3 linked regions of the Daphnia pulex genome follow. The protein of the gene in region 3 interacts with the protein of the main gene of each other region in a pairwise test. Links are inferred from orthologs where the notes say so. Each region holds a gene or a part of one and is shown on either strand. Other genes may lie near its edges.

Region 1 (9,716 bases), about 210 kb from region 3:
CTTCAAGACACGTTATAAGGCAAAACAAGCACATACATATATGCTTCATAAGCGACACATTCATATCCAAAAATTCAAACTCGATCGCCTCACTTCGGAGAATGAGGGAAAAAGGGGGCCGTTGAACTTGCTGAACTGGTCGGTGTCAGAGACATTTCGATATCAGGAGGCAACATCACATGTATCTTTTGTTTTTCACGATCAGTGAGAAATGGCAAGGATGGAAGATGATTGGGCTTAAGTCCGTTTGCTTGATCTTTGCCGACCGAGTCACTATGCTGGATAATCGCTTGCGTTATTCTTGAACCAGGCTCAATAGTGTTTTTCTTGTGGGGTAAGGCGTATCGTAGTCGCTCCATGAAAAACGGATCATCATATTTCAGATATGTGTTCAAGGAAAGGTAAGTTTGAAGCTCTGTATCCATTTTGTCTCTCGGAGGAAGTTCTCCTTTTACGATAACAATAAGTCGCATGCGTTTATCCTTAAGCACCTGTTGATAAGCAGTTCGGAATTCCAGCTGGAAAAAGTAAAACAAAAAATCATATTACAAAGATAAATTCTGATATTTAAACAATTCTGGTGTGTTTACCTTTCCCCAAAAACTGTCCAAGAAATTTTCGGTCAAGATTACAACCGTTCTTTTAGAAGAAGCCACCGAGCGAACAATTTGATCAGGAATCCATTCACCTGCCAACCTGTAATATTTATAATTTTGCGTTTAACGCATTGGGTTATTAATAAAACATAATGAAAAATTTTATTTACCAATCGCGATGATGAAGACAAAGTTGGTAATTGGGCAAACCAACTGGAGGTCGCTCCAGTTGGGCCACAAGCTCATCGACAAATTTCTCGTCATTGTGAGAGAAGCTGATAAAAGCGTCATAAATTCGATCGTCATTTTCTTCTTCTTCTTGAACAACGCACCATAAGCAAAATTGGTGGTTGTAAAGCCAGGCACGTATTACTCGTCGAGAACGGTAAAATATCGTGCATATACAAAATACCAGCAAAGCTAAAACTGGCATCGCTACAGTCAAATATTTCGACACGGCATTCAGCGAAGGGCATAATTTTTCAACAGACAATTCAGAAATAAATAGTCCGTTATCACACCTCATCTGGTTGAAATCTTCCACGCGTTTCCATGAACCATATATGAATTTCAGTAGCGCCAGGTTTGTACAGTCGCATCTCCAAGGGTTTCCACTTAAACTGTAAGTTAAATTGCGCGTTCCATTCCACGCATCAATAACTCCATTAGGAATCGAATTGAAATTGTTATAAGTAAGGTCTAGTCGATTGAGACTAGGGAAACGGAGGAGTAGATTTGGAGCCCAATTGAGAGTATCAAACACTGAAGACTCCATTCCGTTTCTGCTCAAGTCTAGCGTGGTCACATCTGTGCAACAGTTTAACGAGTTTGGGTTCACTTGTCCGATATTAATCGAATTGGACGAAAGATTCATTTGAACCTTGTAGCCGGCAAGTTGGGGTAAGCGAGTAGGGATTTCCTTTAGGTTCTTGTGTTGACAGTTAAACAACACTGTTCTATCCACTGGTCGTAGGTAACATTCGCAGGGCCAATTATTTTCAGGGTGTGCAGGGCAATTGCAAAGAAACTGAGAAGGATTAACTTCAGTAGGCGCGATGCCGGAAAGTGAGGCTGGCTGCTCACAGGTTAGCTTGGGTGCGATTATCTTCCAAGAATGCCTTACGGCCGGCATTGATCGGTTCATGTACTGTGCCATAAAGTATGCACCACAATCGCATAACAGGGGATTATCATCAAGAAACACTATCTTTTTCGCGATAGGATCTTCAGTTTTTCCATCATCCGATCGTCCGTCAACTTCTTCGGCCGATTGGAAATATACTTGTGTGATTTGATTGTTACGAAGATCCAAAATAAAGTCTCGTGTCGGAGATAATCTTGATATGTCGGAGATGGCAAAACTTGTCATTTGATTGTGGCTCAAGATGAGGCGAGTCAACGATTTCATCAAACCCCAGTCGGAATATAGATCAGCGATTTGGTTTTCAGACAGATCGATTAATTCTAATTTTAAGTTGTACTGTAGCGGAGATTGTCTCCAGCCGTCGAGAGGACTGACAAGACCTTCATCGAATTTCAGGCGATTGCGTGCTAAATTAATAGTAGTTAATTCTTTCAAATATTCCATGGCTGCTGGTTGAATAACTTCAATTTGATTATCTTCAAGATATAGGCTTTTCAAGGCTCGAATGCCTCGGAAAACGTTGGCTTCAATTAGAACAAGGGTATTTCCATTGAGCTTGAGAGTACTCAAAAGTCCCAAGTTACTAAACATATTATCCTCGATGCTTGAAATCGAATTCCACGACAAATCCAAATCGGTCAAATTGGTAAGTCCAATGAACCAATCTGAATGCAATCCATTTAGCTTATTTCGTGACAGATTAAGTTTGGCAAGTTTGGTTAAATTTGAAAAAGCATGTTTGTTGAAAGACGACTGGTTGAAGGAACAATAACTCAAATCTAGGACTATCAAAGACTCTAGATTTTCGAAGACACCACGATGAACAGTAGAGAGCTTGGTGTTTAATTGTAAAGATATCTTTTCCAGCATTTTGTTATTACGGAATACTCCTTCTGGCAGTACTTCTAGCGAGTTATTTCGCAAAAAAAGTTCAATCAATTGTGTGTTGAACTGGAAAGCATCCTTGTCCAAACTTGTTAGCTTATTATTACTCAGATCTAGATATTTTAAATTTGCCAGGGATTGTAGAACATCAGAAGGAAGTATATCAAGTTGATTGTTTTGGAGGTTCAATTGAAACAAGTTTGGGAGATTACTGAAGGCACCGATTTCTAATTGTTTTATTACATTTGAGCCCAATTGTAGGGAAATTAGTTGAGGAATATTTTTGAATATTTTGCCACTTATTTTTTGAAGTTTGTTACTGTCTAGCCAAAGTGTCTTCAAGTTTAATTGATCATCGAATAAATCATCTGGAAAATTTTCAAGTTGATTGTTCTGTAAATTTAGAATTTCAAGTTGTGGCATGTTCCGAAATGAATCATGATGAAGAGTTTGAACAGGAGAGCATGAACGAAGTGCAATTCTCTGAATGAAGCTGAGATTCATATGCCTCCCTAAGAATGTGGACAAACTATCCTTTGGAAGCGGACAGAAATTGAATTTCAGAAATGAAATATTGCTAGTTGGAATTCCTTTAACATATTTGTAAACAGATTCTGTGAGAAGGTTTGTTTCATCACATGAACACTGAATTTCAAATGAACTGTCACCATTGTCTTTAAGAGCTTTATAATCTGCTGAAATAGAACCCTCACCAACTGAACATTGTAAGTTGAAATCGCCATTTGTCTTCGGAAAGCATTGACATTCAGGATTTTCACGTTGAGAACATTTCCAAAAACTTTCTGGATGCTGGTCGATAGCAGCACTTAGTTCTTGACTGACAACAATGGTTTGAAAGAGAACACAACACAACACAAAACGGTAGGACATTTCTAAACTGTTACATACTTTTTCTTTAAGAGTAAACGTATTTCATTAGTCAACACTCAACAGGCGATACGAGATTCATGACCTTGACGTTTACAATGTGACGTTCCCATTTCCCGATTCTACGAACTTTCTAACATAGCAACATCACAAAGTGAGCAAAGGCCTGAGTTGGCAAGGGGGGTTGCAGTCTATTGTGATCATTGTTCGCGCCTGCCACCTATATTCTAGATTGTTTAGATTCTATTTACCCAGCATGAATCACAATGAACGTGAACGAAGTTTCACGATGTTTTCAGCCATAGATGTCTCTCTCTGATATCCGTAGATTGTGACATTACGTGATACCCCGATCAAACAGGCCTTGCAATGTATTTCCTTTCGTATTATGAATTTATTGCACGTAAACAGAGCCGAGGGAAAGTTAAAATGTGGTTAAGCTTTCACAACTCAGAACGAAATGAAAAACATAATTTTTAGACAACATATTTGCTTGAAAAGACTTCTCCGTTGATAGAATGCCATACGTTATTAATGTTAAAACATAGTTTTCTCTAATTAAAACATGATTAAAAGTTCCGATTGTGATTCGAATTCTGAATGATTAATCCTTAGTTTGAAATTAAAAATAAACACCAATCCAATCTTCTCTTCAATTAAATTGCAGCTAATTATTTGAAGTGGTTAGTATTTAGTACGCGTAGATGCGGACTATTACATTAAATAAGAAATGCGTAAGGCAAGGCCAGAGCAATAGATCCCTGGTCGGTTCACGGCTGTGTTGGCTTCCCCATCTCGATTTTAGGGTAAACGTAAGCCGATTTGGAAACTTTAAAAAGCGCCTCTAGTGAGTGTGTCAGCTACAACGTCCAGCTACTTTTGAGAGCCTAGATGGCTCTTTTTAAAGTTTCCACTTCACAATTCTGACAGGCCCCGCCCTAAAACCCCCTGAAAATCGGCTTACGTTTACCCTAAAATCGAGATGGGGAAGCCAACACAGCCGTGAACCGACCAGGGATCTATTGCTCTGGTAAGGCCGTAATTCATTTTCGATCGCTGGCCCGCCTGGCCGTCCCGCACTCCGCAGACATTATTCACATGATGGCAATGTGGCAAAATTACAAATTGCCACTATCAGCCGGTTGAGGCGCTGTCTCATCAGAAGTTGTTCGCGTCCATGAAACAGAATAATCTTGTTTCTCCCGGCTCTTCTAACTCAATCATTAAAACTATTCAAGAACCTTGTGAAAAGTAATTTGAAGTTAAAACCATACAGAATGGCTACGGGAACTGTAGAATCTGCTGTGGCCGTTCGAGTAGAAGAAAATAGAGAAACTGAAAAATCTGTTGACAGAGAAAAGGTAGACTAACATTTTTTGCATTTTCTAATCTAAAATATGACTGAACTGAGTTTTCTTTGCAGACATGCCCATTGTTACTTCGTGTTTTCTGTGCCATGGGAAGACACCATAGTCTTGGTGATTATGCAAGAGGTAGTGTGCCAGCAAGTGAGCTTCAAATTTATACATGGTAAGGAAATCCCAAGAAAAAGTGATATTTACGGCTAAAGTTATGTGTAATCGTAGAATTCATGAAATTTTGCATTTTGCATTTATAGGATGGATGCCACTCTTCAAGAAATTACTGGATTGGTGAGAGAAGTTAATTATGAAGCCAGACGCCGTGGAACACGCTTTTCCTTTGCTCAGGTACATTCTAGTTCATACAGTACTTTAAAGTAAAGAGGAACTGCTGTGTTTGTTTGTTAGTTCATCATTATACATCATTCTTTTCTTCTGTCTGCTTAGGTATTCCCCGACCGAAGCACACTAAGCATGTCTCGACGTGAAATAGGTTCCACAATCTCAGGAGAACGCGGGCCAGATGATATGAAGACCCTCAAACAGTGCCGTTTTACCATTGGAGACTATATTGACATCGCCATCACTCCACCCAGCAGAAATATGAATAATCAAAGCAACAGGAGATTCAGGCCATACTAACTTTTTTTTTGTTTATCGACACGGCATTCTTGTTTTTTTTTTCCAGCAATTTTTCCAAGTCATTTTCATAATTGACAGTAAAAAATTTTCACATAGAAAATGTATTTCTCAGTTGCATTTTTTTATGGAAGGCTAAACGCTGCATAAGAATCCCGTATTAAGTAATTAAGGGTTAAGTCATCCGAATGTTCCAGAATTGTCGCAATCAGTTCCTCTTGCTCTTGATGAGAATCAGACGGAATTGGAATTTCTTTTTGTGCTCCCAGTTTACATGTAAATTTATGATAGAATTCTAGCATTTGACAATTCATAGAAATGCCATATTGAAAGGACAGCCTTAGTTGGTGATGTGCGTCTTTCAAATTTCCAATTTCATCGAATAATTGCGACAGTTTAAAACATAATTGGGATCTGATCACATCTTTCGTTCCACTCACAGCAAAGGTTATAGAATTCAGTTGCAAAATTGATCTAGAAAATAACGTTTGGTTTTTAATAGTTACGCTTTATATTCATGAACTAATTATAATACCTATTGATGAGCTGGATAGCTTTCTTGTATTGCTTGAAATGTGCGCAGATTTGAGCATGAAGGTACAAGGTAAACAAATCTTCTTCTAGGGATGAATCAATCGCATCCAAAGCTTTCTGGTAGCTATTTGACAAAACGAGCGCCAGGATACGCTCGTGTAAAACAATAGTTTCAGATGGAGAAACAAGCTTGAAAACTGAAGAAAAAGGTTCCGATTTAGGTTGGAAGTGAGTCTCAGATGACAGCTTTTCATATTCTTCTGCGGCTTCTTGATATCGCTAAGATTTTTCGTTGGTAAGTTTTTTTAAATTCAAGATAATATTATATCGTTACTTGGTTTTTCAGAAAAATTCGAGCCAATTGGTATCTCAAGACTGATACTTCAGGAAGGCTGAATAATTTCATCTGTCCAAGAAGAAATCCAGGAAGTTCAGTATGAATGGAACATTGAAAAACTGGGCTTTTTAGTAATGATTCCTCTGCTATTTTCAATGCTTCAATTTCGAAATTGGTTTGATCCAAAACCTAAAGTTAAATAATTAAAAACTAGTAAATTTTTAGTTGGTTGCAGATACAGGTTTGACATACTTTAAATTGAGTGGCAGCGTAAGCCATCACGATTGAACAGGCTTGCGTTTGGGCTAATTCTCCTGCTCCAGCAAAACTACAATTCAAACGACAATTACTTTATTAATTTTGCACATTGAAAATCAGTATCATCAAGTAGCATTACTTTAAATACTTTAATGCAATGACTGGTTTCTTTAGTAAAGCAAATTTTGCTGCGTTGATTAGACACCTAGCGAAGTATAGATAACTATTCCTTTCGTTGAAATATTCTTCAATCTTCTCATCACTTGAAGGATTAGCTAAGTGAAGACTTGCATACATTTTAAAAATTTCAAAAATTTCAGACATTTTTGTGTTTTGTGGACTTTTGACTGCAAGTGCTTCAGACCAAGACAAGTTGGTACAGTAAAACATGGAAAGAAAAAGTCTTGAAAAATCACAAATGATTGAACAGTAACTTCCAGTAGATTGTAGTGACATTTCAAGTGGAGAAAGCAGAAATATGTGAGTAGAGTTTACATCTGGTGATTCATTCTTTAGGCTGCATTCTAAAATATCTAGAACGCTCTTAACCAGTTCAACAAACCTTAGATCAAGTTTGATTAAACAAGTGAGTATACAGCAGTACAGTAGAAGTGAAAGCTCATCTGACTTGAGCTTTTTACACTGAAGTAATTGATGCACCAAGCCAATAAATTTGTCAACAATTGAGTGTTGTTCTTGATAGTAGAATATTTGATGGTTGCAAAGCACTTTTTCAAAAGCCCCATTTCCAATCTGGACTGCTTTGACACCATTTTCTTCACAACATTGATAATTCAGCAGTGAATAAATAGCATTGGTAGTGCAACATAAAGTCAAAAAGGTATACTCTTTTTCATGTGGAAGTGCTAACAGCTTAGCCTGCAATTGAAAAAGCTCCTCGGAAACAGTTTTTCTAAGCAAATCATCTCCTGGCACGAAAGATGTTTGAAATTTGGATACTAAAACATTATTCTCCACCACACATTTCTCAAATAGTGAGTGAGTTGGTAAATCAGACAAAATTGTTATACACTTTCGGTAGTGGCCTTCTTCGTAATGTTTCGAAATTATATCCATTCCGTAATAAAACTACTTCAACTAAGACTAACTATTGCAATTACAAATCACAAAGAGAAATTCAGACGACGATTGTGTATTTCAAAATTGTAAACAGGACAAAGTTGCCAGCTGCCAGTGATAGCGTTATGATTCTAGCTTTTTACAACGGTATTTTAGAATAATCATTACAGTCGAAAAAAGTTTCTTGTGTAAAGAAGTACTTATTCTTATATTAATTAGGAGCACTCAAGTGACCAAAAATTAACAGTGAAAAATGTTGAAATATTCAAAAGGTAATCGATTCTTAAAGAAAACTCGATTACAAAATAATACAACATTGCCAGTTCTCTCTTTATGTATTCCTGTCAGGGCGTGAATAGAGTTGGACGTTAGAAAAAACCAGACGTCAGTTGCCCATTGCCCGTCGACCGTTTACTTATTTGTTGACAAGTCTGTTCATTCTCGACGCCCACATTTACCTTCATTAAAATGTCCGACAGCGCCAACGGGAATAGCCAAGGAGACATCCCCGAAATCGAGCTCATCATCAAAGTGAGTAATGGTGTAAACTGATTGAATGACGCGAATCTCACTGTATAGTAACCAAGTCGCGTCCCAAATAATTTCGGCATTAGGCCAGCAAGCTTCACGCCCAAATCGTGCAAACATTCCGTGATATGTTCTTGGGTGGATTTGCCTGCTATGTTACTGTCACAACAGCAATTTGTCAGGATTGTCTCCCAAAATTGTTGTGAATTTCGTCAAACAAGGAAAGAAGTTGTTCCCAACATTTGATAAGTCTTATTGTGTGCTAAACCTAAAACTCTTCTCTGACGTACGTGTTTTTTCGTTTGTCGAAGATTAGGCGAGTATTCTCTTATCATCCTTTTGGTTGGTGCCATAACATTTCGAAATGTTAGTTGGGCGCGTACAATGTTGTGTAGTAAAAGACGGTTCGTTTCTTACAAATATTTGCTGTAGGATCGTAAGCAGGGCCTCGGTATTACCGATATAAAGCCAGGAATTTACAACTGGCTCTCGACCTCTAGTCAAACTAGGTTTCCGGTACCTACAGCATTTCCCCTTTCCACTCCCCTGTGCCCTAAAGTAACAACAACAACATAGAGCCTGACGATGCATTTTGATCAGTAATTTTTCTGCAGCTTGAAAATAGGAACATTTCGGTACTAGTAAAGAAAATTTTTTACACCTGCCATGTGATGAGGGCTGTATAGAAGTAAAAAATAAAAGGAAACGGGACGCTTTGTGGATTGCATTGACGTTGTGTGTGTGTGATGCTGACCTCATAGAGGATGGCCTATTTTTACATATTCTTGCTGCCGTGGGCGCTGTTTGTTATGCAGTTCAACCAACCCTCGCATAGGCTTGACTGTTTGCTCATAAAATCAAAGTTTTGTTTGCTATGACAGTGTGTTTAGGACGTTAAAAAAGTTCTTCTAAAATTCACAAACCAAATTATTATTTAGTTGTTGATTTGTGTGGTTCTCATAGCAACTAATACCTTTGTTATATCTAACAGGGGTTGATTGCACTTAGCGAGTTCCGTAGACCCTAGTTTTTATTTTTCTGACCGATAACATTTACTTGTCAGTGGCATGTCTTTCCCCTCATGTGTCCTCATTTAATGAGTCCTGCGCTAAGTTAACACAGTATTACTTCTGTAGCTGACGAATCCCTATAATCGTCGTTCGCCTACTGTATATATCTGAATTCCTAGCATAAAATGTGCACTCGTCATTGTGATTCAGTACAGAACAAGAATTCTCTTCGTGACATTGCGTGGGTCAACTTTTTTAGTTGGCCAATTGCAGTGCGTCATGTTATCCGGAAGTAGCAGTCAAAGTGGAGGCGAGGCGCTATTCGTGGAATTTCCCGGGGTAGATGTAAATAGGAAACAAATACTCAAATAGAAATGAGAAATGTACACAAATAAGTGTGATATTGAAAGGTCCTGATGACGTCAACTGTCATTTCACTATTCATAAAGCCGTCCT
Region 2 (10,989 bases), on a different chromosome or scaffold from region 3:
ATTCGTATAGAGTGAAGAATTCTGCATCTTTTGGCACAAAGAAAAAGATTTTAGCTTGATTTTTAGTATTTTTTGTAAATTTTTGAAAACGCCGTATTTAACACGGCGCATATGGGGGGAAAACGGGTGTACCTAATAAACTGAACGATACCGTAGCGCCGTAAGGGTTAATCCTACGACAACTTCATGTTCAGAAAAAATGTAGATCATCATTAGATCTACTCAGGGTCAAAAGGAAAAAAATCTAGCCCAAACGGTTCAAGAGTTATTGCATTTTTTCTAGGACACGTAGTGCCATAAGAATGCACTGAAAATAGGGGGGTGTACCTAATAGTTTGGTGGGTACTGTATATGTCTTAGGAATGCCTGTGCCTTGTTTTGTCCCTTCTGTTTGCGAAAGTTGTTCACGATCAGGAACATTGACACTAGAAGCAGGATCAAATGAAAACTACGTGATTACCCTTACTGGTAAAACTGTTTCCTGTCGTAAACATCAATTCAGATTAAATATTTAAATGTCACATTGTTTCAGGTCGCTTTGATATGAATGCATCGAAGTTAGTTTACATCCAATGTAAATTCTCTGTGGAATTAACCGAAAAACAATATGTACAGTCTGGATGGTGGCCAGGAGCTACTTCCGGATCCAGCTACCTCTACGTTGAGTCATTACTTGAATTTTGGTACCATTAAGACAACTAGTATTGTGGCGCTTCAACCAAAATGTTTATTGCCACTCTGAATAGAATGGCGATGAACGATCTAAAAGTATAATTGTTTTTGTTTGTTTTCCTACTTCGCATTTTTATAAGACTGTTTTTTCCTCATTTTGTTTATCGAAAGATGTAATAGACATCACACTTTTCGACAAAGCCAGTCGGGAGTACCAATTTCACAAACACGATGAGAATTTTTCAATCCGCAAACAAGATGAATTGAAATGTCCAGCCTGCGCTTGTGATTGCTGTGGGGACCCATTACATGTTGCAGAAAATCCGCTAGCCACAGAAAATTGAACAGTCTTTCACAAAAAGCAGTCAGTCCTAGATGGAAATTTTATACTTCCACGATTGGCTTCGGCCAGCGATGGGTACGTGTTGGATATAATTTTACTGTTTAAGGAGATAAGTGAAATTAATTTACCCACATTTTCTATCAATACAGAGACGGGCAGACTCTTTTGGGAGGTAAATTGATTGTCCAAAATGAATTGTTGACAATCATATTTCTAATATTGATGCTCAATATAGACCGGTATAATAATTGCTACTAATTTTTAAATAAAACGACACTTGTTGTTGAATCACTGAGGTCTATAAGCTTATGTTGCATAGGGAACTAACAGAACTCCATGGTAGTTTCTTTAATGCTGCCAAAGAAGTAACAAAGAAAAAGAAGAATGATAAAGAAACTGGTCTTCTCATTTCTTTTTGCCGTCATTTCGTTGTGCTCCTGGCTGCAAACATATTTTGCGGTGAATCTTACTGTCATGTTCATTTCTTGCACAATGAACTATACAAATTAGGTTACACCGTATTTTTTTACGATGTTTTCTGTTTATACTGGAATTGGGCCAAGAAAATTGGAAACTTAAAAGTAACAGCATTTGACAGATAAAATGATATCATTTCTTCCCCGTTGGCAAGGATTTGCCATGTTTGGCACTGCTAAGTAAATATTTCTACTTTTTAAAATTTATTATTTTACCAATTCATGTTAGATGCAGAATATTGGTCACGCCAGAGAAGGTGTTGGGGCAACTATTGGAGAAGAGATGGAACAAGGTAATGGTACGGTATCCCGATATGGAAATAAAGTAAAGCATATGACGGAAGAAAGTAATTTTCGTGACTTTTGTATAGAGAATAGAACGTATTAATTTGTCTATTTTCTTTCTTAGATAGGAATTACACGCTGACTTCTGGTTTGCTGTAAATGAACAGCGAGAGATTTCTCATAATGCCAAAATTTTTTGATGTCGGACATTTCGGCACTTTTTTCGGCACTTTTATTTTGCCCGTTTCGGCCCCTGTTAACTCCAATAGTATCCGTTTCGGATCTAAATCTTCCCGTTTCGGCACCGTTTTCTTGGATCCTTCAAACCAATCAGATTTGAACCGTATTCTGTAATGATTTTACTCAATTAGCTACAATTTGATTGATTTGATTTTCCTACAATTAGTGAAACTTGAATAGAATTGTGAGTAAGGAGAAGAAGCTTTTTTAAATCTCTAGTTGCTGATTTGACTAGAAGTGATAAAATGTATTAGCATTTATGCTACTGCTACTACAGCAGTTCTATATTCTGTGCGGCACTGCAGGTTGAAAAAAAATGAAATAAAGCTGATGCATAATGTAAGAAAGGAATAAGGAGAGAAAGAAAAACATACAAAATACTGAAACGTAAGCTTCAAATACTATGGCACGCACATGACAATTCTGAGATTTATACGGCCAAGCTCTTAACTGAATGCGCTTATATGTATACAAAAATGAACACAACTAGGTATACAAAAAATATAGGTGATGATAGAGAGTGTGAACTGGAGGCTGAATAGATTTGTACAACAATACATTGATTTATTGAGACTCGAGGCTGTATTTTAATTGTGAGAATCTCATTTTTTCTTTAGGCGTATTGTTTATAATACCCAATGCTACACGATGGAATGCATGGTATGATGCTGTTCGCCACGTAAATAAGATTGCCAAAAAATGGAAAAAAAAAGACTTGAAAGTTGTGACTACTTGAAAGTTCCCTGCCTGACAGCTACAGATTACTTTATTCATTAATGATTATGTTACTGTGATGCAGCCCATTGCATTTGGATTGGACATTCTACAGGGAGAGAAGGATGTTACTTCCGGAAACCTACTACCTTCCATAGTAGATATTGGGAATAGTTTGAATAATCTCAAGAATCGAGATGAAAACTCTAGCCATCCCCCTATTAGTATTTCACTCCCATTAGTTGATGCCTTGTTAGAAAGATTGAAAAAAAGATTTGACATCTTTCTTAGGCAAGAGAATTTTCAGTTGTCGGCTCACTACACCCAAAATTTAAATTGATTTGGTTAGGGACAAGCGAAAAAGATACCAAACTGAAGAAACAAATCATCAGCAAGATTGAAATCCATCTAACATATTTAGACGTCTCTGATTCTACTAAGGCAACAACCCCTGATGACCCTACTGATATTTATTCTGGGTTAATGTAAAATAGCAAGGGGAATTCTATTTTCCAACAAAAAGAAGGTTGAGCTCACTCGGTTTCTTGAAGCTAAGCCAATATACAATCTTTTCTTGATTACTTCCAAAATATAAAAAACTTGTTTTGGAAATTTAATGATAGCATTGCATCTTACGCTGTAACGGAAAGATTTTTTTCTTTGTTTGGGCGTGTGTTAACTTCTACTAGAACACTTCTTAGTGATACGATTTTAATTTTCTTGTTTTTCTTAAGTCAAATATCTGTCCTTTTTCTACAATAACTTAAATTAAATAAGTCATAATAATTGGGCATCATCTGGCAAACCGACCCCTTCAAAATCCGTTTCCCCTTGTCGAGAAAAACCACCGCAAGGGGATTTCGAACAAAGACTAGAGGGGAACCCTCCCCTTGGATCGGTTTTGGATTCGAAGGGGTGGGGAAACGACTTGAAATGACCGCTGAAATGTAGGAATTGATTCAAAAGCGGATTGACTTTGAATCAATACAAATGTCTTTCATGCAACAATAAAATAAAGAAACGCGTAGTCCCATGAGGCCCGTATGATGCTGGGGCGACGGGTTTTTTGGGGGAGCAGAAGCATGACAGAAGTAGGTGCGTGGTTGGTCTCAGCAGGCCCGTGGTTAGGGTATAGGGGGACAACACTTACCAGGACGCAGCCAAACAGACGAATTTCCCGTAGGGATTCTGTAGGGGAGACCGGACCCATGTTGGACACTGTTCCAAGTTGGACAGTGTCTTAAAATATAGTAAAAATTGCTTTAAAATTCTAGATTTCACATTGTTCTAGATGTGATGATGCTAGATCCTGTGTAGTTTAATTAATTTCCCGAGAGTAGAACGGGAGTTATAGGAGGAAGAAAAAACACGATAAATTATTGCAAAATTTTTCGCCCGAATTATTGATCTTGCTCCAAGTTTGTTTGAGTAAAAAAATTTTTAAACAAATGTTTTTAAATTATTTATTATTGGAAGAACTATCATACAAGGTTTTTAAAATAATTTAAAGACATTAATTTCCACCTTTTCGAACCCCGTCTAACTTGGTACAGGCCCCTGTCTAATTTCACCCCGGCTCGGTAAAAAACACCGAAAAATGGAAATCAATGTAAATTCTTAAATTTTAAAGTTACACATTTTAAAAAAATCAAGGGGGTGGAGGCAAGGCTAAAAAATGACCTTAGCCAAAAAAAAATTCTTTTGCCTAAGGGGATCGGGAGATATGCGGGAAAAACCGCGACTGTCCAAGAGGGGTCCGGTCTCCCCTACAGGTTTTTTGGCATACGGGAGGATTAGTTCCAATTTCGCCAATAGATGGCTTCGATTACTTTTTCGACAGTAGATGGTGGGTCGGTCGAATTTCACCAATTTTAACTGCGCGCGTTGAAACTGGCATCTAGGCTCTAGCGACTAAAAGTAAACTGTCATCTGCCTCTTTCTCTTCTTCTTCTAGATTTTTTTATATCTTCCCGTCCATCGATGACTGGAAAGAGATTCAGCTCTTTTCAGACCGACCAGGAAAGAATAACATCTGTAATAGCCTACATCAGCCAAAAATTTTTATTTTTATTTTTTGTCCGCTTGGCGCAACCTAAGACTGGTGGCTTTTTCAAATCTTATTTAGAAAAGAAACCAAAACGAAGATTTCGACATTTTTCCCCCTGCCCCTTCTCGGAAGACGAATTCGACTGCGCTGCTCCTTCCGGCGAGCCCATCTCCTTATCTCTGAAAACGTCTAACGGAGTTGATAGATCGTTAGATCTCCAGCTTAATGGCTCTGGTTTCTAGTTCCATACTCCTTAGTCCCTAACCTAATCCCTAATTTCTAAATTTATTATTTACTAGAATATGTTTATTTCAAATACCTTCGTATTTGGAAATTGATAATATAAGATTTAAAAAATATAACTGCGTAATTTTTTCATTTTGAAAATCACTTGTTTCGTGTGGGTTTTCCAAAAAAATCAAATTCCAATATATTTATTAAACATTATGTTTCCCAGAAGGGTTCCGACTTCTGAAAACTGATTATTACATATTCAATCCTATCAACAACATTCATGGAAAAATTGCTTCTTGCAATTAGTTTGACGTGATACTTTACCTTGACTCCTCCACCAGGGCAACAGATAATTATCCATTACTCTGCCTCCACTTATTATCATCATTTTTATAGTTTTGTAAGGACTCGACTCGAATCGAAGGAGATTCGAGATTTTTTGAGAGCTGGCAAATATGTTTCCTCAAATTCGCGTTTGAGGCTTTGGGCTATCGTAGTTAGTTTGTAGATTTGGCAACACTGTAAATGTAAGCATTCGCATTCGACGCAGCGAAAGCAATTGATGCTGGTGTCTTTTCTTTTCAGTGTAACTGTCGAAAAGTAAAAATAATTTTAATAAAGAATTGTGATTTTCAATTTCGAAAATGACTACTCAACCAAGTCACAGCAGAAAGCGAGTTTGCTACTATTATGACAGTAAGTTAGAAAAATAATTGTATCATGTATAATTAACGTTTCATGTCGCGTGTTTGACTGCCGGCGTCCTTTTTTAAATTAATTATTTCAGTGGTCATATTCTATTTATTTTATAAATTCCCAAAGATACTTGATTTTTGCTAAATTTATATACCTATCTATTGTGACATTTTGATGTACAAAATTTATGTGGAAGTAACAATATTTGGCAAGTGGGACGTCATTTATGCACAGTAGTATCACAAAGAATTATAGATGTTTGAAGACTGAAGAGCACATAGTATTAAAAAAGAAAGATATGTGGCTATATTATCATTTAAATTGGGTTTTATTTTTGAATTGCTTCAAAATTTTATTAAGATTTTCATGTCAAATTTGTCGATGAGGTTGTCGGGGGTATAATTGACGTCCTACTTGGTGGGTGGGTTGGCATTTTTATGGTGACTTTTCATTTTAACTCTTAAATTTGTAATTCCTTTTTTTATTAACCTAGGTGACATCGGGAATTTTTATTATGGACAGGTAATAATATTGAACACATTTATGTTAATGAAACTGTAATTAATAATAAATTTTTGAAATTGAAGGGACATCCCATGAAACCTCATCGCATACGCATGACCCACAACTTGCTCTTGAATTATGGGCTATACCGTAAAATGGAAATCTATGTAAAAATTCAAGAAGCTAGATGATAATTGCCACAGTTTAATTGAATTTATTTTTTGTTAGCGACCACACAAAGCCACAGCTGAAGAAATGACCAAGTTCCACAGTGATGATTACATTCGATTTCTTCGAAGCATCAGACCTGACAATATGACAGAATACAATAAACAGATGCAGAGATGTAAGATGTGTTTACAATTTGATCAATTTGAAATTGTGAATTAATTTATTTGTTTGTTTTTTAGTTAATGTGGGTGAAGACTGTCCTGTTTTTGATGGGCTCTACGAATTTTGTCAATTATCTGCTGGAGGTTCTGTAGCTGGAGCTGTGAAGCTCAACAAGCAAGCAACTGAGATAGCTGTGAACTGGGCTGGGGGATTACATCATGCCAAAAAGTCTGAGGCATCAGGATTCTGCTATGTAAATGAATAACTTAATAACAGTTTTTGGATATAACTTACTAACTAATGTTCATCTCTTTCCATATTTTAGGTAAATGACATAGTGTTGGCAATTTTAGAGCTTCTGAAATACCACCAACGTGTTTTGTATATTGACATTGATATTCATCATGGTGATGGAGTGGAAGAAGCCTTTTACACTACTGATCGTGTAATGACTGTTTCATTTCACAAATATGGAGAATATTTTCCTGGAACTGGAGATCTCAGAGTAAGAAGTTTTGAACTAAATTTTGAATAAGAAACTGTTATTTATCCTTTTGTTGTAGGACATTGGTGCAGGCAAAGGAAAATATTATGCCGTAAATTTCCCCCTGAGAGATGGAATAGATGATGAAAGCTATGAGCAAATCTTCGTACCTATCATGTCAAAAGTGATGGAAACTTATCAGCCGAGTGCAGTGGTTCTCCAATGCGGTGCCGATAGTTTGTCTGGTGATCGTTTGGGATGCTTTAATCTTACTTTGAAAGGTATGTGTTCGGAACTATTGTTTTTAGTATACATGTTATTATCAAGTTGTCTTTAGGTCACGCAAAATGTGTTGATTTTGTTAAGAAACATAATCTGCCTTTACTGCTGCTTGGAGGTGGTGGTTACACTATTCGAAATGTTGCCCGTTGTTGGACTTACGAGACCGCAGTGGCACTGGGAAATGACATTGCAAATGAACTCCCTTACAACGATTATTTTGAATATTTTGGTCCCGATTTTAAATTGCACATTAGTCCGTCTAACATGGCAAATCAAAATACTCCGGAATATTTAGATAAAATCAAGTAAGTTTTTAGTGTTTTATTCAAAGAATTATATGTTGAGTGACATGTTTTTCTTAGAACTCGTCTTTTCGAAAACCTCCGCATGTTACCTCATGCTCCTGGAGTCCAAATGCAAGGTACTTGCATTAAATTTAATTCTTCAATTGTATTTATTATTTCATTGCATTGCGTTTAACTGATCCAAAATTATTCTGACAGCAATTCCCGAGGATGCCATTAACGAAGATTCCGACGAAGAAGATAAATCTAATCCCGATGAACGTATATCTATACGAGCATCAGATAAAAGGATTGCACCAGACAATGAATACAGTGATTCCGAAGATGAAGGGGATTCCCGCCGAGATCAAAGGTCTGAATTCATTAATAAATCGTGCAATTTTTCATTTTTTCAATCATTATTCTCTACTATATAGATCATTTAAAGGAGCAAATCGCAAAAGACCAAGAACCGAAACAGCTGAGGGTGCTGCAGAGGTCAAAAAGGAAGAAAAGGAGGACAAAGAAGTGAATGGCGAGAATAAGGAAGGTACTTCAAAAGAGACTGTAAAGGATTCGGACAAGAAAAATGAGACAACACTGAAGTCTAGTGGTGAATCTTCTAGTGAAGGTAGTGCTTTGTCCATGGCGAATGAAATAAAAGGTTAGTGTTCACGTAATCGTGGTTATCTCAGATTTCTTACCAATTATATGTATTTTCAGAACCCGAAGAAGATAAATCTACATCGCATGAATTAAGCTCCCCTGTTCCGGTTTGCGCCGATAGCAGTAAAGGAGAAAAAGTTTGAAAATACCAATTAGGGTTTTATTTCATTTTCGCTAATTTTACACTGATGGTGATTCTTCGAGATTCATTCACATCCAATTTTCTACGTGTATCTTAATTAGAATGTAAACTCCGGCTCCTATCACCAACTGCATACCCTCAATCGGGTTCTCAGTCTTCAATACATTTTTACTAAGTTTTTCATTTTAGTTTGGTCTTTTTTCTACATCCTAAGATACGCACTTCACTTATGTTGAGTGCATACTTTAAAACTGGAATACTGATTCAACAACATGTAGCGTAACAGAAGCTTTAATAGGCAAGAAGCGTTTATTTTTAAGAATGATTTTGTAGGGAGAATCAGCGATCAGTAAGCCCAACCTAGTTGGTGGAACGTTGGAATACCGTAGGAAAAGTTTGAGGTTTTACTAGGATTAAGGTTGAAGTTAATAAATATTAAATACTTGAATTGGGATAGTGCATATTTTAATTTCAAAACTATGATAAATTTTACTATTCTGGTGTTAGGTTACATAGGTTAGATTACATATGTTAGGTTACAGTACTAGTCACTAGTATTGTTATCTAGTTATCTTATTTCTTAAATCATTATGTTTTTATAGGCCTCAATAATATAAAAAAATAATTCTAAAGGTTTCATCGATATGGATAACCGATAAGTTAAGGCAACTGGTGGTACCTCTAGTGCTTCGTTATTGTTTCAGTCACGGCTCCCAGTTATTAATTTGCAAATTATATTGTGATAATTTTTAAGTTCGTCGGTTTCGTAAAAAGTGGTTTTTAAAGTGGTGATTAAAAGTCCAACTGAACGGAAAGTAATGTATGTGAACGTGTTATATGAATTGCTTTCGTGTTTGTTGCGTTTAAACCGCGTGGTTTCCTGAGTTTTGATTTCCTCTTCTAGGTCAAGTTCGTTCATCCGATTTCTCCAGTACTTAATCCAATCTGGCATGAAGTCATTTTACAAAGATTCTTTCGATTGAGTACCTTGAGATCAATGTCTTTTCCAAAAAGATTTCCAATCAGCGGCATAAAGAGGGTTAGCCTCTGACCGTTGCTCCTTGAACTGCCGCACACAATCCAGCAGTCTCTCTTCCGGTAATTCCGGACACTATTTAGTTCGTAGCTGTGGTATAGGTTTCCAGCGCATCGAGCATCCCCAAGTGTTTTTGGATCTTCTCGGTGAAACGGGAGAAAGAAATCCGAAGTTGAATTTCAGATTTACTTCTGTTTTAGTTATATCAGAATATAATTTGGCATTTGTTCGGCAATTTTGCAATCGGCGAGTGCTGGTCTCAACGGAACTGCACTAAATAAGGCATTCCAATTTGTATCTGAACACGATGATTGGTAAAATAAACGGCAATACTTAACATGACAATCATTATTACCTTGAAGCGTATCTAAATCCTGATTTTCAGTTGGAATATTGTGAAACTCGTGGAATTCATGCAGCTGGATGTGTCTTACTCGTTCATTTCTTTTTTATTTCTTCCGTCACCCTTACTCCCTATACTTGGATACTTGTCAGCTTGAACACCATGTTCCCGCTTTTAAGCTCCTGTTGAACTCATCGATAAAATACTTGGTTAGCTGATACCTTTTGCTGGAAATCTCGAACATACGACTCATGACTCTGAGAATACGAATTCTGCTGGTAAAACTAATACCTAAAACTATGACTACACAATTCTCCAGACCGCGTTGTTAAGCTTGCCCCCTTGCAGCTAGTAGATTGCGTCGTTGAAACTTGGAAGTGCACACCTATCCAGCTGAAGCAGAATGTATCAAGCGCTGTGACTGGTTAATATGCAATCCAATTAATTTTGTATCACTTAAAAAAATGGGTAGGAAAAAATGTATAGGATTAAAACTAGACTTAGTCCATTCGAAAAATACAGAAGAAAAAAATATTACTCGAGGCTATATTATAGCTAGTACGACGTTGCCTTGTCGGCGGTACGCGTCACTGGACTACTGACTACTCTATACACCATGTCTATACTTCGTTTTAAAGTTAACTAACGGCCAAAATAGACTAATTCATTCCAGTTTCCAAAAATTTGTTTATCTCAACTTGGTGGCAATTTTAATTTATACTTCAGATTTAAAGATCTTTAACGTATTATCCGTTGCACCACTTATTATTATCGAAGGATTTGACCAGTCAGCGCACAGGATCTTGCCTTCATGTCCCGTCATGTCGTATAACGGAGCCTTGGGACTGAAAAGAAAAATTATTTCTCATTGAATTAACACGCAATTAATTATCAAATACTTGCCTCCTACTATCCCACAACTTTAAAATGTTATCATGGCCACCGGATACGAATAATCTTTCATGTGTCGTAGACCAACAAACCGTTGATACCCATCCAACGTGTGAAGTGAATGTGGCTTTCACAATTGACCCCTCTGTCAAAAAAAAAAATTGGAAATCATTAATGAGCCTATTAAAATGGTATAAAGCGCAACAGATGTACCTTGAGATCGGGCATCATACAAACGTATATGACGATCAGCTGAAGCAGTGATAAGAGTTTGGTTTAATGGAGAACGAGAAATGCAGAAGAAGGATTTGTTCCCA
Region 3 (11,106 bases):
GGAAAGACAAACGGGAAGGCACTGCAGCTGTATTATATACCAAGGTCAAACATATGCCGCGTGCCATGTTTGCCAGTGCTGGGCCATTTGTTTGTTTCCACCGAAAAAATAATAAAAAATGGCCGCTCTCCCCCCCTCAAGGACGAATCTTTTTCGACATCCCGATAATAATCCTCCGCGTGCGTGCGTGTGTGCGCAGCTGTTTTTGTCCGGGGGAATAAATATCATATAATTGCGTTTTTTCATGATTGGGTGTCTAACGGTTTTTTCTGTGTTGTTATTCCACAGGCTTGCCCGTTGAATCCGACGCCAGCGCCTTCCAACGGCCAACAGCAATTGCTGCAGGATTTCTCCGAGCGCTTCCTTCCGGCCATCCGCGATGTGGTGGAATTCGCCAAACGTTTGCCCGGCTTCACCCTATTGGCCGAAGACGATAAAGTCACGCTCTTGAAACCCGGAGTCTTTGAAGTACTTCTCGTTCGATTGGCCGCCATGTTTGACTCACAGGTAAATAAGAAGAAAACGAAAAGAAAATTCGACTGGGAAATGTTTGATATTCATTTTGATTTAAATTGTTTTCATTACAGAGCAACACCATGCTGTGCTTGAACGGCCAACTACTAAGAAGGGACGCCCTTCACAATTCGTCCAACGCCCGATTTTTAATGGATTCCATGTTTGAATTTGCCGAGAGACTCAACAGCCTGGCACTTAATGACTCTGAATTGGGTCTCTTTTGCGCCGTTGTCGTCATCGCTGCCGGTAAGTTTCTTTAAACTAAAATGTTAATTTGCGACATTGAATTAATGAGATGAAATTGAAATTCTTCAGATCGACCCGGATTGAGGAATGTGGAATTGGTGGAGCGGATGCAATCGAAATTGCGATCCGTCTTGGAGAATGTTTTGAATCAAGCCCATCCTGACAAGGCTGGACTCTTTTTGGAATTGTTGCGCAAGATTCCCGACCTGCGCACGCTCAACACCCTTCACTCTGAAAAATTGCTGGCCTTCAAGATGACTGAGCAACAACAACAACAGCAGCAACAACAACAACAACATTATAATCATCATGCGCAGCAGCAGACTCCTCCCCCGACTGCCAGTCCTTGGCACAATGACAGGGACAGCTACGACGAAGAAGGTGGCGCCAAGAGTCCGATGGGATCCGTGTCCAGCAGCGGCGCTGAATCGATTTGCTCCGGCGTCGAAGGCACCTCGTCGATGAGCGATTTGCCGCTATTGGCCGCTGTTGCCGGAAGCGCTGTGCCGCTCATGTCTGGCGGCTCACACCGACGCCGACTTCGCGGCCCGTCCGAGAACGGATCATCTTCCATGTCGAGCGACGGTGAAGAAATGGATTCCACCGGCCGTTCTCTGATGAGGATGGTTGAATCGCCTCCGCGGACCCACAGCGCTGGAGCCGGAAGCAATGCTGGCAGCAGCTGCCCTTATTCAAAGATGCGCAAATTGGATTCTCCGGATGATTCCGGAATCGAATCGGGTGTGGATCGCTACGAGAAAATGTCGACGGCTTCCCGGTCGACCAACACGTCCCTTTGCTCATCACCGCGCTCTTCACTGGAAGACAAAGTCAAGGAAGTGGATGAGATGCAACATCATCACCACCATCATCATCATCATGCGGCTCCATCGGCCGGTGGCCGTGTAGGCCAGTCGAGCGTCGACGACATGCCCGTCTTGAAGCGAGTCCTTCAGGCTCCGCCTCTTTTCGACACCAACTCTCTGATGGACGAGGCGTACAAACCGCACAAGAAATTCCGGGCTCTGACGCGTTGCGCCGGAAGCAAAGGCGAAGAATCGCCGATGCGAGTGCCGGCCGTTAGCTCGCCTCCTCGCAGCTCGCCGACCTCTTCCTCTTCATCGTCTACGTCGACCGTGAGCGTCTTGTCTGCGGCTCTCAGTTCCCCTCCGGGCACGTACTCTGCCCTGTGCAGTGCCTTGACGTCACCTCCGTCGACGTCGTCGTCTTCGTTGCTGGCGTCTTCGTTGTCTTCGGGCGTCGTCAGTTCGCTGACGTCGACCCACTCGACCCTGGCCCGTTCCCTGATGGAAGGTCCCAAAATGGTCAGCACCGAACAGCAGCGCCGCGCCGATCTCATCGTCGCCAACATTATGAAGGGCAACGTGACGGGCTCATCGCCCACACCTTCATCGTCCAGCCAAAACTATTGTCTGTCACCCCTTTCCAGCAGCAGCAGCAGCAGTAACGGACAACAACAACAACAAAGAACCGTTTTGACTTCCGGTCCACTTTACGCCGGCTCATCTTCGCCATCTAGCTGGAATTACCACCACCACCAGAGGTCGTCGCCAGTGTCTCCTCCACATCACCACTCTAGCCCAAGTCCCAGCAGCAGCCGAATTCCGCAACAACAACAACAACAGCAACAACAGCCGGAATCGGTTTCTTCAGTTGGAGGCGATTCACAACCGTTGAATTTGTCGCTCAAGTCGCCCTCGTCGTCGCCGGCCAGGCCAACGACGCCAGTCACGCAACACAACAACACTCACTATTTCCCCCTTCACGCCTAAAAATGATTGACGAAGAGTTTCTCTCACCGTACCTGTGGATTGTGTGTGTATGTGTGTGTGTGTGTGTGTGTTGGATGGGGTGAGGAGGAGGAGGCATGGGGGTGATGGGGCAACTATTAAGCGTAAGAGGATCCCATTTTTTGGTTGCATCGTCAGCCGTGTTTTTGATTCGATCCCTTTCAACAACTACAACAACAACAACAGCAGCAAACAACCAACACCCTTTAAAAAAAAAAATTCTTGTACAGAATAAGAAACTGTAAACTAGTTCTTCGTTATCACCAGCATCAGTGTCGATTATTCTACTCGGTCTTTATATAATTATCTATCCCCCCCCCCACACTCCCGACCGAATCTTATATATATATATATACATAGTATATACACTTGAGTTTGATGTTCTACATGATATGATCCATTTTCCTCGTTCAAATTGAAAGGAAAAACAAAAAAAAAACTCGAATCGCGGAATTTGCCTCGCTGTTAAACAGTCCCATTTCGAAATTGGCGCGCGCGCATTTCTTTTAAATTTTTCAAAAACTTTCTTTGCGGGAACATTATTTTTTCATTTGCTGTGTTTAGCCGGTGGCGTCCAAGACGCATTTTCTCTGTGCTGTATTTTTTATTTTGAATCCCGACAACAAGGAAAGAGAATGTTTGTTAAATTAAATCGCCCACTATTTCGACGAGGTTATTTCCTTCTTCGTAAAAATTTAGAGAGAAGCCCTCTATCAAGAAATTGTCCGTGTATCGTTTGTCGTCACACCTGCTCGACCTAAAAAAATTTGTTTAAAATATTTTCAATTTTTTTTTTCATTTAAAAATTAATTTCCCGTACAACTCCCGTACGAGCATGTGACGGTCGATCTCGACATGATTTTTTCTTTTTTCGTTTCATAATTTTAAATTTGTCCCCTTAAACAAACAAAAACAAAAAAAAAAAGAAAACAATTTCGTATGCTTTTGTGATTTTTACGACGGACAACCCATTTCCTGTGAACGACAGAGTGAGAGAGAGTGATGGAAGGGTTTGAAAACATTTGGGCAGGAGCTCCTTCCATGTTTACCGTGTGTGAGTGTGGCAATCGTATTGATGATTGTTTTATCCCAGTGGAAGACACACCTTTTTCTTCGTATGTTTTACACCCCCTATCTTTATATATATTATATATATATATATATATATATTATTACAACAAAAAAATCTAATAGTGTGTCAATTTTTGTGTTTCTGTCAACATTTCGGGGGTCTCTTTTTCGGATTGGTTGAGGGGAGGGCAAAAAAACAAAAACCGAGTGATGGATAAAACTTTTTTCTTTTGTCAAGTTTCCCTTTTTCTAAATTGTAACTTGTGTCCATGAGTTGCAATGCACTCGGAATTTCTGTACTTTTTTATTTCGGTTTTTGTGTTTTTCTGTGGGAATTATGGAAACAAAAGTGATTTTCTCTCTCTGTCGTTTACTTTCAAAATTCTGTTTTTCAATTGTTGCGTGTTTCGGTTTTCTATTTGCAAATTCTTTTTCTGTTGATCGAAAGAAATTGTCATCCTCCCTACCCTCCATATATAATTCTATAACGGAATGCCTGTGTAATGTGTGTGTATCTGCGGAAAAAATTTCAAAACTGTACGTGCCGTGTGTTCTCTAATGACCGGTTAATGTAGCGCATTTCACGTGCGCAATCTAGACATTACAATTATGCAAGAATGTCAAATCGAGTTTTTGTTTCATTTATTTTTATTTACAAAATGAATTCTATTATACACCCATCGTCGGTATACATTCCAACAAACGGTCAACGGTTATTTTCGAAATTTCAAAAATAAAAGTTTCAAATTTGACCGCTAGATGGCTGTCGTTGGAGCAACAACAACGATAAGGTACTTGGGTTTTCGTGACACACAAAATCAATCGCAATAAAAGGTGTTAATCGAAAGCCTCAACCAAAACAACCTTAACCCACATTGATCACTTTTGCACAACTAAATTTGTTTCCCGGTCCAAAAATCTCTCGATGGAATGGTACGAAAAAACTAGGACTCTATTGATGTACACGTAGGAGCAGCAGCACCTATTCAATGTCAAATAAAGTTATACATGTTACTATTCATTTGAAAAATTCCCCCCGATTACAAAAATAAAAACGGCACGTGTCTCGACTTTTCACCCCAGTTCCATCTGGGTAGTTAGTTACAACCAAACGGTCGTCCAGTCTGTACGGTTTAGAAAATCTTTCCTGGCCACCACCAGCTATATTATTTTTCCACTGGACTCGTGCGTTTTTGTTCAAGACCCGGTTATCTTATCTGACTAGAGAGAGTCAGTTAATAAACTACAAGCAAAAAGGCGCGGTAAAATAACTTGCAAGACGCACACAATCTACGGAGAGAGGAAATGCCAAAGGAAGGAAAACGGGCGGTGCAGCAGCAGCGGCCATTTCTCACGCTCACATCTTTGGAGAAACGCAACTCGTGTTGTTGAGAGATCCGTCTGCTGCCCAGGGTGACACGTCTACAACACACACACACCAAACGGCTGTGTGGGTAGGTTTTTGAAGGTCGTATAATAACTAACTCATTCTCCTACAACTCCCCAATTTCTCCGTATGTATCCTTTCTCTTCTTTCCACTCCTCCCCTTCCTTTTCCTTGAGGGGGTCGAAAATTACAACCCACCACCACCCGTACAACAGCAGCAGCCCAATCCCTAAGGCTTCTTTTAAAATATCTTTTCTTCCTTGGTTGGCGTGTGTATGTTGAAATGGCGTGCATAGTCGAAAAACGACTAGGGGGATAGAGTGTGTTATAAGAAACTTGTTGTCTATTCTACTTGTCGAGTTCTAATCTTGTGCCCGTCAACTTGTTGTGTTTTTTTTCGTTGCTCTTCATTTCTCCGTTTGGTCGCCAGGTTGTCGAGGTACATCGTCGAGTTGGCAAGTTTGTGAGCTGCTGCCAAGAATTTTTCAACGGCAAAAATGACAGTGTCGAAATTGTTTATTTCCTACACTTGAGCTTCACGAACAAAATTTATTTTGTTTTGTTTCAAAAAAGTGTCGGCCAAACGAAATTGTTTTGTTTTTCGTTGTTGTTGTTGTTGTTTGGCCGCATCATGGCGCCCCAAGAAGTGAAATTTATGGAGAATCGGTTGGGTGGTGTTGCACTGGTCATTGATGGATGCAAGTATCGAATCAATCGACGCTCAGGCAATACGGTTTATTGGCGGTGTTTCTATCGTTGGTGTCGGGCCAACGCCGTGGTGGAAGACGGAAAATTGAAATCGTCGTGCGGCAGTCACATTTGCTCGCAGCCGCACAACAACATCCAAAACGGCGGCGCCTCTGCCAAATCGGGACGCCACCGCCAGTCGTCGGATCATCAGCAGACGCCAACAGTCACTCAGCAGCAGACGGTTGCGGTTCATCAGCGACCGGCTACTTCTTCGTCTGTCCAGCCAGGCAGTCTCAGAGGAGCAGCTTCTCTCGCCTCAAAAATGGCCACGCGTGCAGCTCAAGGATCAACTACTCACACGTTAACACGAAATGCCAACAAGGGCAAAGTGGCACTCAGATCTCAGAAACCTCCGACCAACAATAACATGGTCATCCGAAGGAAATCCAAGGCCAATGAAGAGGATATCAAACCCACCAACGTTACAGTGCAACCGTCAACTACTACTGATTCGCCACAATGTGTTCCAGATTCGCCACCTAATAATCAGGTACGTTGATTGGAAAACGGTTTGATGTTTTGGTTGCTGATGGAATCATATTACCTATTTTTACATCATTAACGCGGGGCATTTTTTTCTTTTGGGAACAAAGAAATCCCGCGCTATTTCGTGGGAAATTTCTTTTTCACTTCCCTTTCGAAGCGGGGTTGCCATTTGAATTTTTGTTGTCAGACAAATAGTCATCCGGCTCTCGTTATTTTACGACAAAATGGTGTGATAACTAGTAATTTGGACGGAGATTGGTAATAAAGAATGTTCACCGACGATCTGTCGTTATTTCGGCCGTATATCGTTCACCGGAAAGTGGCAATGTTGTTCCAGCTGTCAACTATCTTCACGCGTGACAGTTGGGAAACAAGTGTTGACGAATCCCCCCATTTTATGTTATTTTATAATTGTTATTGATGGAAAACGTGACCACCGATACACCTGATTTTGCTATTCCCGTAACGTGATCTGGTTTCCTTAGACATCCGTTTCATACAAATTTAACATCTTGTTTATCTCCACAGAATGAAGCACCCAAGTACAAGATTTCGGCCGAATGGAAACGGCGTGTGAGATCCGAGTATATGCGAATTCGCCAGTCTCGGAGGTATAAACGAGCTGATGAGATTCGTGCTGTATGGTCCGAAAACAGAAAGAACGTTAATGGTATACATGGCATTTTCAAAGTTTGAGGTAGAACACATGTGTAATAAATCTTCCTTAATCCTTATACACAGAGAGGGTGGCTGCCAACCAAAAGAAATGGGAAGTGAGCAAAGCATTCTGGGCATGCAGCCAAGATTGGCCAGCGCACAGTCAGTGCATGAAGAAAGTCAAACCTGACCACTGCCTGGGTGTCAACACCGATCAGAAAGCAGTACCTGTTAAGATCATCAATGCAGTAGCACCTGTCCCCACCATGTATTCATGGGCTGGTCTCCAACAGAACTTTATGGTATGAAACTGAAATGTTCTTTTCCTATTGTTTTTATGGAAACTAGCATATACACATCTACAGGTGGAGGATGAAACAGTTCTACACAACATCCCTTACATGGGTGATGAAGTGTTGGACCAGGATGGTACGTTTATAGAAGAATTGATCAAGAACTACGATGGAAAAGTTCACGGAGATCGCGAAGGGGGCGTCATCGATGACGATATCTTTGTGGAACTAGTCACTGCCTTAGTCCCCTATTGTGATGAAGATGAAAGGTCTGATTTGGGTTCGAAATCCGTCAAAGCTGAGAAGCTGGACGAAGCAGCACGTGATGCCATGACAAGTATCAAAGACAAACCACCCAAGGACTCTGTCCAGCCCGTAGCGAAGGATCTACCCAACATCATTGCTTTTCAAGCAATCGCCTCTGTCTTCCTAGACAAAGGAACCCCAGAAGAATTGAGAGAAAGGTATATCCAGATAAACAAAAATACAAAGTAATGATAATAAAACAACATCTTTTCATACAGGTACATGGAATTGACGGAACGAGCTGATCCTGTCGCTCTGGGTAGCGAGTGCACTCCAAATATTGACGGCCCGAAGGCTCCCTCCGTCCAGAGGGAGCAAGCCATGCACTCATTTCACACCCTGTTTTGTCGCCGATGTTTTAAATACGACTGTTTTCTTCATCGTAAGTTTGCCTGCTTCGTTACAAGTAATATCCTTCATTAGATTTGAACGTTTCTTTACACGTTTTCTTTACTTAATTCTCACTCAACTTTCCGACGCTATCTTCTTCTCTAAAGAAACTCAAGGAGCGGTGCCTCGTCGAGGTAAATTGCTGTTTGTTTCACCACTTTTAGTTTGTCTTTTTTTTTTTAACTTGTCGTGAGAGAGAAATGACTGACCTGTTTTTAATTATAGGTCTACAATCATATCATCCTGGTCCCAACAGTCAAAAGAGAAAATGCAATGATCTCAAACTTCCCAAACAGCCTTGTGGGCCGCAATGCTACATGTACTTGGTAAGATACCGATCTTATACGTTTAACAGCAGTCTTTATTCAAATTCATTATTACAGGAAGGTCTGTTAGAGAGATTAGCACAAGCAGCGCAAGAAGGTGACGAAGCCGATGGGCAGCCTCTTAAAATCCGAAAAACGGTTTCGCTAGATTCGGGTAATGAAGCTTCATCCGAAGATAGCAACGACAGTAGCGTCAAAAATGGGAACGGGGATAACCAAAATCCGCCGGAATCTGTTAAAGACGACAAAGAAATCGAATGTAAAATTTAAAACGTGCTCTACTTGTGGCCGATGTTAACTGTTTTGTCGTTGTTTGCAGGTGCAATGGAGGTCGTCGTGGAAAGTCAGACTCCACCGGAATCTGTTGCTCCTAAAGTGAGCGAGCCCAGTAAAGATTCAACGCCACTCACGTCCAATGAAAATTCGAATAGTTCTTCGAGTTTGGTACCTGAACGCAAGAATAGCCTAAATGAAAAACCTGGACCTTCGAGGTATTACCGCATAAACAAATTCCAACTAAAGGAATATGCATTATTTGTTACACTCTACATGAAGGGAGAGCAAGTCCAATGAATCCGGTACCAGCACGCCCCTTGCGCAAGCTCCACCTGCCCATGAGTTGAATCCGTTAAAAGACATCGACCCCGACATGCAAACTGTGTGGACACCATCGGAACAAACTCTCTTCCGAGTAGTACATCCCATTTTCCTTAATAATTACTGTGCTATTGCGCAGACTATCCTCAGCAAGACTTGTAAACAGGTGGGTTGCATAGATAATTGAGTTACGAGTCATTGCTGGCAGTATAATACTTGATCGCATTTTTATTACTGTGCCAGGTGTATCGGTTTGCTCAACAAGAAGCCGCTGATCTGCCAACCCTGGAGACCGAGAAAGAAGCCACCCCACCGCGGAAGAAGAAAAAGAAACTACGACTCTGGTCCGTTCACTGCCGAAAGATCCAGCTAAAAAAAGATGCCTCATCGAATCACGTTCATAATTTTACGCCTTGCGATCACCCTGGCCAGCCTTGTGATTCCACCTGCCCTTGCGTTAATGCGCAAAATTTTTGTGAGAAATTCTGTCAGTGCAGTTCCGACTGTAAGTTTAAACATCTCTATTATCTATTAACGGTTTAATGACTAAGTACTAAATTTCTCTATCAGGTCAAAATCGATTTCCTGGTTGTCGATGCAAAGCTCAATGCAATACCAAACAGTGCCCCTGTTTCTTGGCCGTTCGCGAATGCGATCCTGATTTATGTGGGACATGCGGTGCGGATCATCATGATGTTTCCAAAATCACTTGCAAGAATGTCAGCGTTCAACGTGGATTACGTACGTCTGATCTAAGTGATTTAAATCGTTTTATTCTAAATCTGTGCTGTTGTGGTTTACAGGCAAGCATCTGCTTATGGCCCCTTCCGATGTTGCCGGTTGGGGAATATTTTTGAAAGAAACAGTACAGAAGAATGAATTCATTTCCGAATACTGTGGTGAAATAATCTCCCAGGACGAGGCTGATAGACGAGGAAAAGTTTACGACAAATATATGTGCTCCTTTTTGTTCAATCTTAACAATGGTGCGTAAGCTTCTGATGCCTCAATCTCTCGACCTTCACACTCATTTTGCTTGTCTCGTTTCAGACTTTGTGGTTGACGCCACCAGAAAGGGTAACAAGATTCGCTTTGCTAATCATTCGATCAACCCAAACTGTTATGCCAAAGTCATGATGGTGAACGGTGACCACAGAATCGGTATATTCGCTAAAAGGTTTATTCACTCTGGCGAAGAGCTGTTCTTTGATTACAGGTTAGAATTGCTTTGTTCATCAATAAGAATACGTGGTCTAAAACAATTTGTTTTCCTCGTTTTTAGATACGGCCCAACAGAGCAACTGAAATTTGTTGGCATTGAAAGAGAAGGGGAATTCCTGTAGAAATGTTGTTCGAGCAGTGCGTGGTTCTAAGCCTTTACGTGGTTCATCAGGTCCAGTACATTTTAGCTTATGAATAAAAAGGACCGCGACTAGATTAATTATAACTCTTTTTGTGCTTTTGTAAATCGTGGTGTTATATCATGCCTGTGTAATGTAGTGATTCGATTTTATCGTAAATAAGTTTAAAGTGAAGATTTCTTTTTCACGTTACTCGCGGCCGGTGCTTTAATCACCGACGAGCACTCTGGTTAATAAAAATAAACTATGTTCATAATCATTGTATTGATTTCCGAATTGTTTTTATTGGGTTGACACGAATTGACTAAGTCATTTTGTTGCGAGTTTGAAGAATTTTATTCTACGTTTCTGTTCGTATTATTTAATACCGTAGATCACATTTATCCCACCCTTCAAAATTATTATCAGTTGATAATTCCTCAAACGTAATAGAGCAGTTCCATTTTAGGCATTAAGTTAAGTTTATTTTTTACCCCAAATTTCATGGAAATATATGGTCGAATTATTAGTCAGCTCAAAAGCTGACGAGCTAGCTCGAAAGCTATCACTTTATGTCTTTATTCACTTATTTTCTGGGTAGTCCCGACTTCCGGAAAGAAATTTGAAGACAATGGTCGATTGCTACGCTAGATGGTTCTGGGGGGGGGGGGGCGCACTATAGACATCTAGTGAATGGCAACAGAAATTTAAACTCAAAACCGACTACCGGTGTGTTGATTATCCTCTGAATGTCTCTTATCGAGTATCGAGAACACAAATATTGAAACATATGTGTTCTACTCGGTTTAGTGTTTCTGTATCGTCCAGATATTCTGTGATGAAATTTACTAGATAAAAAAATTATTATAATTATTATACTCACTGATACATCACTTATTTTAAAATGCACCGACGAAGAAAAGACAAAAT

Evidence for each region.
Region 1: the proteins of histone-lysine N-methyltransferase EZH2-like (region 3) and histone deacetylase complex subunit SAP18-like interact in binary tests that used the Drosophila melanogaster proteins (3 or more experiments, as listed by UniProt). The link is inferred for Daphnia pulex from reciprocal best matches to the Drosophila melanogaster genes E(z) and Bin1.
Region 2: the proteins of histone-lysine N-methyltransferase EZH2-like (region 3) and histone deacetylase 1-like interact in binary tests that used the Drosophila melanogaster proteins (3 or more experiments, as listed by UniProt). The link is inferred for Daphnia pulex from reciprocal best matches to the Drosophila melanogaster genes E(z) and HDAC1.

The regions. Positions count from the first base shown.
Region 1 is NC_060018.1:4,702,192-4,711,907, reverse strand, and holds histone deacetylase complex subunit SAP18-like, read left to right. Parts: upstream 1-4,648; 5' UTR 4,649-4,790; coding exon 4,791-4,874; intron 4,875-4,936; coding exon 4,937-5,043; intron 5,044-5,131; coding exon 5,132-5,222; intron 5,223-5,321; coding exon 5,322-5,516; 3' UTR 5,517-5,616; downstream 5,617-9,716. Other genes in the region: protein toll-like, read right to left, coding at 90-518, 591-696, 767-3,516; uncharacterized protein LOC124210509, read right to left, coding at 5,639-5,987, 6,049-6,326, 6,382-6,573, 6,637-6,712, 6,782-7,719; chloride intracellular channel exc-4-like, read left to right, coding at 8,191-8,253. UniProt on the Drosophila melanogaster protein: Involved in the tethering of the SIN3 complex to core histone proteins. Interacts with bicoid (bcd) to repress transcription of bicoid target genes in the anterior tip of the embryo; a process known as retraction.
Region 2 is NC_060024.1:1,145,493-1,156,481, forward strand, and holds histone deacetylase 1-like, read left to right. Parts: upstream 1-5,515; 5' UTR 5,516-5,655; coding exon 5,656-5,707; intron 5,708-6,200; coding exon 6,201-6,229; intron 6,230-6,294; coding exon 6,295-6,378; intron 6,379-6,439; coding exon 6,440-6,557; intron 6,558-6,621; coding exon 6,622-6,797; intron 6,798-6,869; coding exon 6,870-7,049; intron 7,050-7,107; coding exon 7,108-7,309; intron 7,310-7,365; coding exon 7,366-7,615; intron 7,616-7,672; coding exon 7,673-7,731; intron 7,732-7,813; coding exon 7,814-7,967; intron 7,968-8,031; coding exon 8,032-8,258; intron 8,259-8,317; coding exon 8,318-8,403; 3' UTR 8,404-8,585; downstream 8,586-10,989. Other genes in the region: ribosome biogenesis protein WDR12 homolog, read right to left, coding at 10,497-10,626, 10,685-10,817, 10,886-10,989. UniProt on the Drosophila melanogaster protein: Catalyzes the deacetylation of lysine residues on the N-terminal part of the core histones (H2A, H2B, H3 and H4).
Region 3 is NC_060018.1:4,492,191-4,503,296, reverse strand, and holds histone-lysine N-methyltransferase EZH2-like, read left to right. Parts: upstream 1-4,748; 5' UTR 4,749-5,098; exon of another isoform or gene 5,099-5,461; 5' UTR 5,462-5,662; coding exon 5,663-6,271; intron 6,272-6,436; exon of another isoform or gene 6,437-6,687; coding exon of another isoform or gene 6,688-6,729; intron 6,730-6,792; coding exon of another isoform or gene 6,793-6,795; coding exon 6,796-6,937; intron 6,938-7,008; coding exon 7,009-7,226; intron 7,227-7,289; coding exon 7,290-7,681; intron 7,682-7,741; coding exon 7,742-7,905; intron 7,906-8,020; coding exon 8,021-8,047; intron 8,048-8,138; coding exon 8,139-8,239; intron 8,240-8,296; coding exon 8,297-8,498; intron 8,499-8,558; coding exon 8,559-8,730; intron 8,731-8,794; coding exon 8,795-9,002; intron 9,003-9,079; coding exon 9,080-9,341; intron 9,342-9,406; coding exon 9,407-9,577; intron 9,578-9,639; coding exon 9,640-9,822; intron 9,823-9,886; coding exon 9,887-10,052; intron 10,053-10,118; coding exon 10,119-10,179; 3' UTR 10,180-10,456; downstream 10,457-11,106. Other genes in the region: ecdysone-inducible protein E75-like, read left to right, coding at 289-507, 588-762, 832-2,555; endoplasmic reticulum-Golgi intermediate compartment protein 2-like, read left to right, coding at 11,081-11,106. UniProt on the Drosophila melanogaster protein: Polycomb group (PcG) protein. Catalytic subunit of the Esc/E(z) complex, which methylates 'Lys-9' and 'Lys-27' of histone H3, leading to transcriptional repression of the affected target gene.